2 linked regions of the Caenorhabditis elegans genome follow. The protein of the gene in region 2 purifies or fractionates together with the protein of the main gene of each other region. This does not show direct contact. Each region holds a gene or a part of one and is shown on either strand. Other genes may lie near its edges.

Evidence for each region. Proteins that work in one complex are often made in the same cells at the same time.
Region 1: the proteins of metl-18 (region 2) and srbc-45 fractionate together in Caenorhabditis elegans (co-fractionation; one large-scale study listed by BioGRID). This does not show direct contact.

The regions. Positions count from the first base shown.
Region 1 is NC_003283.11:12,801,161-12,806,435, reverse strand, and holds srbc-45 (Serpentine Receptor, class BC (Class B-like)), read right to left. Parts: upstream 2,863-5,275; coding exon 2,759-2,862; intron 2,710-2,758; coding exon 2,630-2,709; intron 2,580-2,629; coding exon 2,035-2,579; intron 1,994-2,034; coding exon 1,886-1,993; downstream 1-1,885.
Region 2 is NC_003281.10:3,422,914-3,429,422, reverse strand, and holds metl-18 (protein-histidine N-methyltransferase), read right to left. Parts: upstream 3,686-6,509; 5' UTR 3,683-3,685; coding exon 3,518-3,682; intron 2,853-3,517; coding exon 2,700-2,852; intron 2,650-2,699; coding exon 2,531-2,649; intron 2,525-2,530; exon of another isoform or gene 2,431-2,524; intron 2,332-2,430; coding exon 2,233-2,331; intron 1,569-2,232; coding exon 1,415-1,568; 3' UTR 1,329-1,414; downstream 1-1,328. Other genes in the region: K01A11.1 (Spaetzle domain-containing protein), read left to right, coding at 884-1,003; golg-4 (GRIP domain-containing protein), read right to left, coding at 4,680-4,817, 5,154-5,393, 5,933-6,509.

The sequences.
Region 1 (5,275 bases), on a different chromosome or scaffold from region 2:
CAACGAACTAGTCCCTTTCCAAATAATTATCAGAATTTTGTTGTCGGGTTTCTCATTAATAGTTGATATTATGGTCAAAATTTGAAAAGTAAATATGATGCTTTGACTTTTTAACGATGATTTCAATGAACTGGAGTTTTCGAGAGAATTTACTTGTTTAACGTCTAGCTTTAAGTTGATTATACTTCACTGGAAACAGTTTTTTACTGAGAAAAGTTACAGTAAACTGAATTTCCCTTTCAGTTTTTGCGGTGTGAAAAAAATCACAAAAATTTCAACAATTTTATTTTTCTTCCTTTTGTGATTATTATGTTATTGTAATCATTAATCCACGCGGGTTCACCAAATCTTTTCTCATTAATTTCACAATTACAATTGATTCAAATACTCTTCCCGTGTAACGAAAAGCTCCAACAACTGGCCCAAGACCCTGAAAATAGTAAATTAAAATATCAGTTTTCAAAAAAATAATTTCTCACCTCATCGCTAACAATTTCGTATGTAAACAAAATCCACGGGATTAGTTCAAACAATGAAACCGAAAAACAATCAGTTAAGGAAATCAAGTTCAATTTTCGAAGATCCGATGTTTGACTAGAAGACATGAAAAATAGTTTAATGCAAAGAATAGTCGAAAATAAAATATTGATCGATGAATAAAATATTCGAGTAATTGAAGAATATTCTTGAAAACAGAGAGGAGTAGAACAGAAAAAGTTCACACAATTAGGATTTGGTTCCAGGCGAAATCCACAGTAACCAAAGAGAACTGCATTTAGTGATACGCCAGTAGCAAAAACAAACAGAAAAATCGGTATATTTGAGACTCGGTTACGGTAGTTATGAAATTTTATAGGAGTCGCTGTTCCAATTACTCTTTCAATTGCAATAATTGCGGAAAGAAAACATCTCATTTCCATAAAACTAAAACACACTAAACCAAACATAAAAGTAATTTCGTTTGGAAGCTTATTGACGAAAAATTCCACTATAGACAAACAATAGTAAATGAATGCTGTAAGAAAAATATTATTTCAATTTTCCATTAGATTAATGAACCAATAAGTGCATTGAACGCGTCAAGCACAACAAGAAAGAGCACCAATTGATATTCGATTTTCTTTCCCGTTTTTGAGAACTTAAAAATATTATCTATCATAGAAAAATTCAGAAACATAATCACATTATCAACTTTTGTAGAATATAAAAATTTAGAAAAGCTTTAAAAAATGCCATTGAAGTTCCAATAAGGAAGATAATCGAATAAGCGACGGTAAGCAGTACCATTTTAAGTGAGTGAGAGCAAAAGAAAGGAAGGAGACGTAAATGAGCACTTAGATTCTGATCAAACGGAATACAAGATGATATGTTATGAGGATTGCCTTCTACGAAAGCAACGATATTTACGCAGTATGTTATTCGTTTTCGAATTGAGAGTTGTTAAAGTCACGTGCATTTGTTTCCAAAGACCATCAACATTACTATAGTGCACAATATACGCATACCATGGGCACGATGAACTGGCTCTTCGTGAAAACATTGAATTTCCTGACAGTTTAAGTTTCAGAGCTGTGAATTAATGGATAGAAAACCAAAGTGTTTGCGTATTCGCATTTGTGTGGCTTTTTCAAAATAGCCAGCAAAATAGACCAATAAGTTTAAACATATGTAATGTGCGCAGTAGCAGATAAAACTGAAGCTTTATTTTTTTTCTAAGAATTTATTCAAAACGGTAGTTACAAATTTCAGAAAACATTGATGATACTAAAATATGACTGAAAAACGCAACACGAATTTTTTTTTCTCAAACTTTTCATCCACAGAAGAATTAATTTTCAAAGTAAAATTTGCACTGGTTGAAAGTTCGATGTCGTCATAAAACTTATTATCTCATTTGATTAACCGATGTATCTTTCCTCATCAGTTTAACCACAACCATTGATTCAACTAAACGTCCTGTTGAACGAAGTGTCCCGATTATTGGTCCAAGACTCTGAATCAAATTTTACTTTAAAATTATTAACTATCTCGAACCTTGATTTCAATGTGTCGAACATTGATTATTAAAGATGGCAGAAGATCAAAAATGAATGTTGATATAGCATCAGTCAATGATAAAAGGTTAGCTTTTTGAAGATCGCTGGATATTTTTGTGCTTTTACATGAAAGAAATATCAATTGTATGCTTAAAATAGTAGAGAAAACAATATTGGTAGATGTATAGATTATCCGGGTTATAACAGCATATGATTGAAAACAAGTAGTTAATGAACAGTAGAAACTTGCACATCCATCCACTCTTTCGAATTGAAAATTACAGACTTTAAAAAGAACTGTGTTGCATACAATTGAAGTTGTAATTAAAAATATATAAATTGGAAAATTAGAGATGGTTTTTCGATAATTATAAAAATATATTGGAGTTGTTGTTGCGAGAGTTCGTTCTACAGAAATGATGGCGGCAAGAAATGATCGAGCCTCAAAAAAATTGTAAGCTATTATACCCGGTGTAATGATAAATTCATAAGGAATTATATCAGAAAAGATATCTACAGTAGACAAAACAAAGTAGTTGACAGCTGAAAATTCATCAAATATACATAAATAGTTTTTGTCATTTTATGTCAACCTGCAAACATATTTATGACTTCTAAAATGATACGAACCAAAAATAATTGGTAATCAATCTTTTTCCATGTTTTCCAATCGCTAAAAATTTTTAATTTTTTATACAAACAAAAAAAATATATCGACTCACTTAACAAATTTTCGTAGAATATGCAAATTTAACACCAAATTGGAAAATATCATTAAAATGCCAACCGAATGAAAAACATAGTAAGCCGTTGATAAGTTCTCCATTTTTGAAAGTATTCGAGTGAATAACAATTCAAAATCTTCCTGCTTGGTATGACTCTTTGAAATGAGTTGTTCTGATTATTTGAGACGAGACGGTGATAATTATTTTATTCTCGTGAGTATTGTCGTTTACCAAGGTATGAATAAGAAGAAAAGAAAAATGTTTATCTCCATTTTTACTTTTAATTTATGTAGCTTGGTAAGATCTTGATTTCAAAGTGCATCCATGATATTTAGCAAGTCATCGCTCCTGGAGCGTTACCGTAGAGGAAATTCGGTACTTCGAAAAATAAGCCATCTTTGTATAAACAAGATTGCACAGTTTTCCAAAATTTGGAAAAAAAGATGAGTTACAACTGCTTCAAACCTATCTGTTGTTTTTATTTCAAATGATTATTCTAACTTTTTGTGAGTACATTGGTTTGTTCCATTTTTATTTCAAATCGATAAAATATAGTTTCGGCGTTTTAAAACGTCGTTTTGTATCTTCTGAAACATTAAATTCTCTCATATTTTTACAATATATGTACATGTATCACATTCACCAATTCACGTTGACTCGAATAATATTTGAGAAAATTGTCGTCTGTACGGACTTCGTCGTTTTCATCAGCTTCACCATTACAATCGCTTCCACCAATCTTCCAGTTTGACGATTTGCACCCATTACCGGACCACGGTTCTGAAGAAATATGCATATTGTACAATTTTTTAATTTTTTAATTACTTCAATTTCAATGGGTCCAGAATTAAAAATTAAAGATGGAATCAAATCAAACAAGAGTGTTGATAATCCATCAGTCAGTGACATAAAGTTGGCTTTACGAAGGGCTAGAGTAACTGTTCTTTTATTAATTGATAACCAACACAGACTGGAGCATAATATTGCAGTGAAGCATACTGTAGTTGTGCAAAAAATAATTCTCGAGATTGCTTGAAACTACTGGAATAGCAGTGAAACGTGCAATGATAAATTACATTCACAACTCAAATTTTGATTATACAAATGCAGAATTATTATTTATTGTTTAAAAAAATTTTGATAATACCTGACTGCATGGAGGGATGGCGGCACAATTAAAGCTTGTGCAATCTGTTTCTAGAGGTAGTCGCAATTCACAAAACCCAAACATAACAACGTTACTCAGAACACCATTAAATAAAATAAATGCAAATTTTGGAATGTTGGAGAGCCTTTATCGGTAATGATAAAAAGTAATCGAATCACTTTTTTGTGGCCATCATTCTTTCTATTGAAATAATTGCGGCAATCCAAGATCTCATTTCTAGGAACGTGTTAGAAAAAACACCGACAAAGAATGAAACTTCGAAACAATTTCTGATAATATTAACGTAATTATAGTACTTATAAAATAAATAGCACCTAAACAAAGAAAATTTCAACATATGTTCTGCAAACGCCTAACTCGCAATAAAAATTAGTTGATATTCTATCTTCTTCCATGTTTTACTGAAATTAGTTATCAGTATTAACTCTCAGGAACCAGAATAAACTTACAAAATAAATTTCTGCAAAATATTAGGTTGAACCGGAAATCTTTGTGACTGGGTTTGCTTTTCCAACGCTAGCCGCAGTTGCACTTTGGTGTTCCCTTGTTGCTAGGGTATAACAACGAGTAAAGGAACTTCATTTTGAAAATCACCCCACTCCTTTCCCTTTGGTCTGAGTTCAGTTAGCCGACAATGTATTTATCTAGTGCCATCCACATCCGACATGGTTCGATGCACCTTTTTCTCTCTCATACCACGATGAAGGATTCGGAAAGTCTCCTGAAGGATGTTTATCATCGACATGTCCGCCACTATAATACTATATACATTTGGTTCCATCACTTCGAAAAGGACGACTTTTCTCTCGAAGACTCTGAGACCCCATAAATTGGATTTGGACACGTTGCAGAAAGCCATGGCAACGGATCCTTTCCAAACCTCCCGTGAGCTGTCAACCGCACTTCAATCCTATCAAACCATCATCGTACGGGGCTGGGAAGCTCTTGGAATGAAGAAAATTATGGGTCGATTCATACCTCACTCTTCGACACAAGCCAACCATGATTTTTGAGTGGATGATTCCATTTCACCCCTCACTCTCCATGGGGCCGATCGATGTTTGGGCCGACTCATCACTGGAACCGAGAAGTGGGTCCTCCATGATAAGAACCACACGCGTGCCCAGTGGTTTGTAGAAGGAGAAACCCCACAGGGTGCCGCCAAACCCGACCTTAACCCCAAAAACGTCATGCTCTCAGTGTGGTGGGGAGTGTACGGCCCCATCAACTGGGAACTGCTTCCTGGGGGCAAAATAGTTAATGGGGACCTTTAAGTTATCTAACCACAAAACCTAAGGAACATATTCAATCGTTCACCCCTGAAGGACGAGCAACTCTACTTTCAA
Region 2 (6,509 bases):
ATCACAGAGAAAACTGTGATTTTTCGGAAGACAATTTGAAAAAAAAACATTTTTGTTAATTATTTGAGCAAAAAGTAAATAATTAAACATATTTTGTGAGTAGTTTCAAATTCCCACGCACGCTCTCCTCAAGTGTTCATAATTATTAGAGCGCACTCGTGCGGTACCTCACGAACTCCAGAATTCGCGGGAATTCGTTTCGCCGGGACAGCAGTTTTTGGCTATTTTTGGCTTCTATGGAAAAACGAATTCCCGCGAATTCTGGAGTTCGTGAGGTGCCGCTCGAGCGCGCTCTAATAATTATGAACACTTGAGGAGAGCGTGGCCATGTATTTCAAAAAATTTTGCGCGTAAAATATGATGCAAGAAGCCCGCAAATTGTTTTATTACGGGAACACTAAATTCAGAGAATGCGTATTGCTCAACATATTTGACGCGCAAAATGTCTCGTAACGAAAACTACAGTAATCCTTTGAATGGCTACGGTAGTGCTTGTGACGATTTACGAGCTTGTTTTTCGAAATGAGTTCAAATTTTTTATTTATCGATAAAATATGAAAATTGTGCAAAAATAGAAATTAATACGAAAAAATGAGGGAAAATAGAATATCGATGTCAGTATTCGAAAAAAATTCATTTCGAAAGCCCGTAAACCGACACAAGCACTACAGTAGTAATTAAAAGAATTACTGTAGTTTTCGCTACGAGATATTTTGCGCGTCAAATATGTTGCGCAGTACGCACTGTCTACTTGAAAAATCCTTTTTCCCAATACATTTTTCTGTAAACTTTAGTGTTTTTCTGGGTTCCCCAAAAATTTCCACAAAAATTGCGCGTAAAATATAGTGTTTTTCACACACACTCAATTCCTAATTTCTTTTAGGTACACGTGTCTCGTCGTAGTGTTGGTTCAATTCATTGGCATCCATTTACAATTCCAGATGCTCCAATCTCTTGTCAATGTATGTGGCCAGTGGATCGATACGGTCATCAGGAGTTCTAGTCATTTTAGCCCCTTTTTGCGCACGTGGTGTCAGGATGTCCCATTACGGTTTGATCTACAAAAAATGCGGGAGTTTTTTTCTGCCTAAAAAAAGTGACGCCATCACGTTCTTAACCATACAGCATCAGTGCAGAACTCTGCGTCTCGTCTCCCGCATTTTTTGTAGATCGACGTAGATCAAGCCGAAATGAGACACTCTGACACCACGTGTTGCTGCTTAAATTGTCAGTACAAAACGTTCCATTTTTCCCATTTTTCTCATTATTCTCTCTACTTACAAACTAATGGCGGGTAGGTGTGCATTTTACGACTGATTTTTTTTCTTGAAATGAAACAGTTTTTATTGAAAAAGGACAATTCTTGAACAACTTAACAAATAAAAAACACAACAAAAAGACGAAAAAATTCAAATCATTTTTTCCGAATCTCCACAATCCGTCTGGGCACTGAAGCGGCGATCACTTTTGCCTCAGAAGCTTGAAGAATTCCGCGTTGATTGATAAATTCGCAGAATGCTGGAACACTTCCGCCGACGCCAAAGTAGAAGAATTTCGCGGCGAACCATCTGAAATTGAAGGGCTTGAAAATGGAAGAGTTTGAATCTCTTCCATGTGTCGATTTACGCAGCTCGTGTAGTCCTCGAGGAGAAGTTTTCGGCAAAAATTCGTATTCTGTGTGGGTTTTTTCAATGAAAAGAGACTCATTTTCAAGGAAATTCAATATTTTTTATATTTTTCGACACGATTTTTTAACCAAAGAAAAATGAAATTTATTTTAATCGGAATATTAAAAAAAACAATTTTTTGGGCAGAAAACATAGATTTTTAAAAAAATTTTTATTTAAACTATTTTTATCGAAAATTATACTTAAAAACGCTAAGAAATTCTTAAGAATGGGTCTCGCCGCGAAAAAAAGTTTATGGTAAAAAATCTCAGAACTTTTTGATATTAAAAAAAGGGGAAGAAGCGTTAAAGCTAATTCAACATTTTAAAAATTTTTTCTAATTTTTAAAAAAATTTTTCGACAAAAAAGGTTGTTTGTATACAAAAACCAACAAAAAACGTTCACTTTTCGTGATCAAAATCGATTTTCTGCGATTTTTGTCTAGCAAAATTGCCAAATATCATGTTAAGTACAGAAAAAAAACGGTCTCAAGCTTTAAAAAAAAAACTCTCTTCTCCTCGAGGAATACACGAGCTGCTGCGTAAATCGACACAAACGATCTTACGCGACTCCGTCATCCTTGATTGTTGCAGCGACCGCATCGTGGAGAGCTTGATAGTCATCTTCGTTGTAAATGGTTTCCGATGAGAGAATGAAGTCGAATCTGGTAAATGGAATATAACATAAAGTTCTGCGTCTTAGGCCCCCCCCCCCCCCCGTCTCCAGCCGGGCGCTATACAAAACGTCCACCAAGACGAGTCTACATCGCCGCCCGGTTAGCTCAGTCGGTAGAGCACCAGACTCTTAATCTGGTTGTCGCGGGTTCGAGCCCCGCATTGGGCTGATGTCTTTTTGCTGCTTACTTTCTTCCGCTCAATCGATTCGGAACCTCTTCCCATCCCATTGCTTCTCCTTGAACAACTGCTGAATGCGGATTTTCTTCGAAGTTTGGAAGTGTGAAGAACTCGATGACTGACGCGTTCTGCAATGTTTTAGATTAATTTTTTGTTTTAACTCATCTCGTAGACTTACAAAGTCCTGAGCGAAAACTTCCTTAGCTCCGTGTACCGCCGTGAGAATTGATGGAAGAGCTGCTCCACAGCCGAGCTCTAGAACTGATTTTCCGGCGAAAAGCGTTTGATTTTCTTCGATATAGTCGCAAAGATCGACGGTGCATTCCCAGATCTGCAAATTTATTTATTAAGTAAAAATTAAATTTAAAAAAAAACATTAAATTTTTATATTAGAAGAATTTTTTTTTTTTTTGCAAAATTGGATTTAATTTCAAAATTTCAATTTTTTTCTCAAATTTTTTTCTGAAAGAAAATTGAAAAAAAACGCTATTCTCAAAATTTTTATGCCACTAGATTTCGAACGCTTCAAATTAAAAAAAAATCGCAAATAGAATTCAAAAAAACATTTTTTCTGAAAATTTGAATTTCTAAATATAAAATTCGCAGAAAATCCAAATATATATTTATTTTGAATTTTTTAAAATTTTGGGAAAAAAAATTCAAATTTCAATTAGAATCAGTGAAAAACACGAAAAATAGGACCTAGTTTATCGGATAATTTCACAAAAATTTCTGAAAAATTCTCAAAATTATTTTTAAAAATTCCAGAAAAAAGGAGACTCAAAAAATTTAAAATGCAGAAAAAATCTAATTTTTTCAAATTTTTTAAAACAATATTTTATCGATTTTTTTTCGATTTTTTAAAATTTTCTTATGTTTGTTCAAGTTATTTCCATTTTTTTTTCACTTTCCCAAATAATTTTTTTTAATTAAAAAAACTCCAATTTTCAGTCAAAAATGTCGTTTTTTTTCTAAAATTCACGTCACAATCAGCACCTTAAATCCACCCTCATATTTGTGAACTGTAATATCGGACGTTTCCATATTTTCCAGCTCTTTTTTGTATCTTTCTTCTCCATTAAGCTCATCAATTCCCATTCGAATTTCCACTTCGTTCAAGTAGGAGATTTCTCGGCCATTGGTGAGCTTCAGCACGTTCATTCTGAAAAAATCTGGAATTTTTCGAAAAACTTGATTTTTTAAAAATTTTGGAATATCTGGAAATGTTTCAAAAAACCCGGAAGTTTTTAAAAAATTCTGAAATTTTCCAAAAAATTTGATCTTTTTTTTTTTGAAAAATATGATTTTTTTTAATCTGGAAATTTCCCGAAAAATATCAACTATTTTTCAAAAAATCTGAAAAAAAATTTTTTAACCCGATAAAATATCAAAATTGGTAAAAATCTAACGCAAGTTTGAAAAAATAAAAATAATTTTTTTTTTCGAAATAAATTAAAAAATTTTATTACATATATATTTCTCGTATATATACACAATAAATTGTTCGAAAAAAAATTGAAATAAAAATCTAAAAATTTTTCGGCGATTAATCACAGTCGTTGGGAGGATAAAGCAGAACAATATAGAGGAAACAGAATTTCTACGAAAAAAAAAATTATTTTTAAAAAAATTAGAAAAAAATCGGGGGATATTGTTTTCAAAAATCTAATAACCGGTAGGGGGTATATCCAAAAAAAAGAATTTTGTTAATTTGAAAAATATTGAAAAAAAAACTCTAATTACGGGGGTTAATCTAAAAGAAGACGTAATTTTGCCTGTAATTGGCTAATTTTCTCTCAGTGTCGATTTACGAGCGTTTTTTTTGATAGACAATTCGAAAAATTCCAATTTTTAGAAATTTTTTTTTTTTGTGGAAAATTTAAAAATTAGTTTTTTTGAATTTTTTTTGAAGAAAAAACTAATATTGCGATTATCGCAGAAAATTTTTTAAAAATAATTTTTCAAAAAATCGGTTCAAAAAATTCAATTTTCGGTTTTTTCCATAGAAAATATTGAAAAAAAAATCCAAAAATTTTCGACAAAAATCGTAAGCTCCGCCCATTTCTTGGCTATCACATTCTGAGAGAAAATTAGTCAGTTTCACACACAAAAAAACATGAAAAATGAGAGAAAATTGAGCAAAAATTAGAGTTTCGAATTATCGATTCAACGCATGGCTAACAGTTCCACCAACAGCTGCCGCCCAGCTTGCCTGCCTTGATTCTTCACTGCTTATCACATTTTTCATTTGAGACTCGTCGAATCGGGCCACAGTTCCAATTACACGGGCCAATGTCTGCAAAAATTTAGAAAAATTAGTTCAAATTTTACGAGATGAGCCAAGAAATGGGCGGAGCTTAAACTAAACATTTCAAAAAAATTGACTTAATTTTATTTTTTGAAAATTTTAAATTTTCTTTTTAAATTAAATTAATTTTAAATTCTCCGCCCATTTATTGGCAATTTTTCAAAAATTTTAGAAGTAGCTCCGCCCATTTATTGGTTTTTTTTACTTTTTTTCTAGATTAAGCTCCGCCCAATTATTGGCAATTTTTCGGAAAAATTTCAGTGTAAAATTGCATGAAAATCATGATTTTTCACCCAAAAATTCAAAAATTCAATTTCCCCTTACCACAGATTCTTTTCCAAGAGATTCTCGATTAGTCATGTATCGATATAGTACATTTCGTAGATATTCAGCTTCTGCCGGATCAGCAATTCCGTGTAATTCCATAGATTTCGTTCTGCCAGTTGAAGCATTTCCATTGGATCGTGGCGTCTTCTCGTTCCGTGAGACTTGCATTCGTAGATCATCTGCTTCGGTTAGTGAGGCGTCAAGCTTTTGTTTTAACGAGGCAATTTCTTCTTTGAACTGCAAAAAATGGGGCTTTTTTAGGGATTTAGTGCTCGAAAATTGAAAATTTCTCGATTTTTTTTGAGATTTTCAGTCAGTGTTGGAAAAATGACAAAAATATTTAAAAAAAAATTTTTTAATGTTAAATTCGAAGCATAAACTCGATTTTTGCTGAAATTTATGTCCGAGAAACTTGAATTTACGCTCGAATATTCGTTTAAAAAAAACGAGAAAATTTCCATTAAACAGGCAGAAATTTCTGAAAATCGACAGCTTTTCTGCCAAAACTCGATGACTCTATTTTCCAAAATTCTAGCTATTTTTAATTGGAAGCATTAGAAAAATACATTTTTTGAGGTTTTACACACGATTTTTAACGGAAAATTCAAAATTTTGAGCTGAAAATTGCTCTTTTTCAGTTGTTTTACCAATTTTCAAAACAATTTTCAGCCATTTTTTTCCAGTTTTTTTAGCCAAAAATTCGAATTTCTAGCGGTTTTTAGTTCATTTTTGACGATTTTCATCCAAATTTCCTCCATTTTCTCCCAATTTATTACCGAAAACTCGCTTCTTCTATCCTCTTCATCCATCTGTTTCTGTACTTGTAATTGCCCATTTTCAGCAGTTTCTTTTGAAGTTTTCAGTCGTGTTAACTCCTCTTGAACCATATCAAATTGCTGATTTTTATCATTCAACTCATTGTACAACTGCTTGACTTCTTTCTGAAGTTCTCGTACAACCTTCCTTGCATCTGTATCTGCTTTCACTGCTTTCGTCTCATTCGCTGCCGTTAGCTTCTTCACTTCAGCTTCAAGTCCTTCAATTCTGTCCGTGAGCTCTTTTGCTTCTCCTTCTAACATTTCTTTTTCAACTTCCCAGTGGCTTCTGTCCTTCTCTGCTGAAATTTCCTTAATCTTGAGCTCTTCAATTTCAGACTCCGAGCTTTTCAGCAATTCTTCCAGTGCTCTAAGCTTCTGCTCCGATTCTAGCTTCGCTTGCTCCGCCGAGGCTTCAAGTGTTTTAAATCGAGACTCTGAAGCTTCATCCTGAGAATTTTGAGCCTTTTTCAGTTTTTCTTCAAATTGAGAGGTTAGCTTGGCGATTTTCTTCTCGGCTGAAGCCTTCAACTCGTTG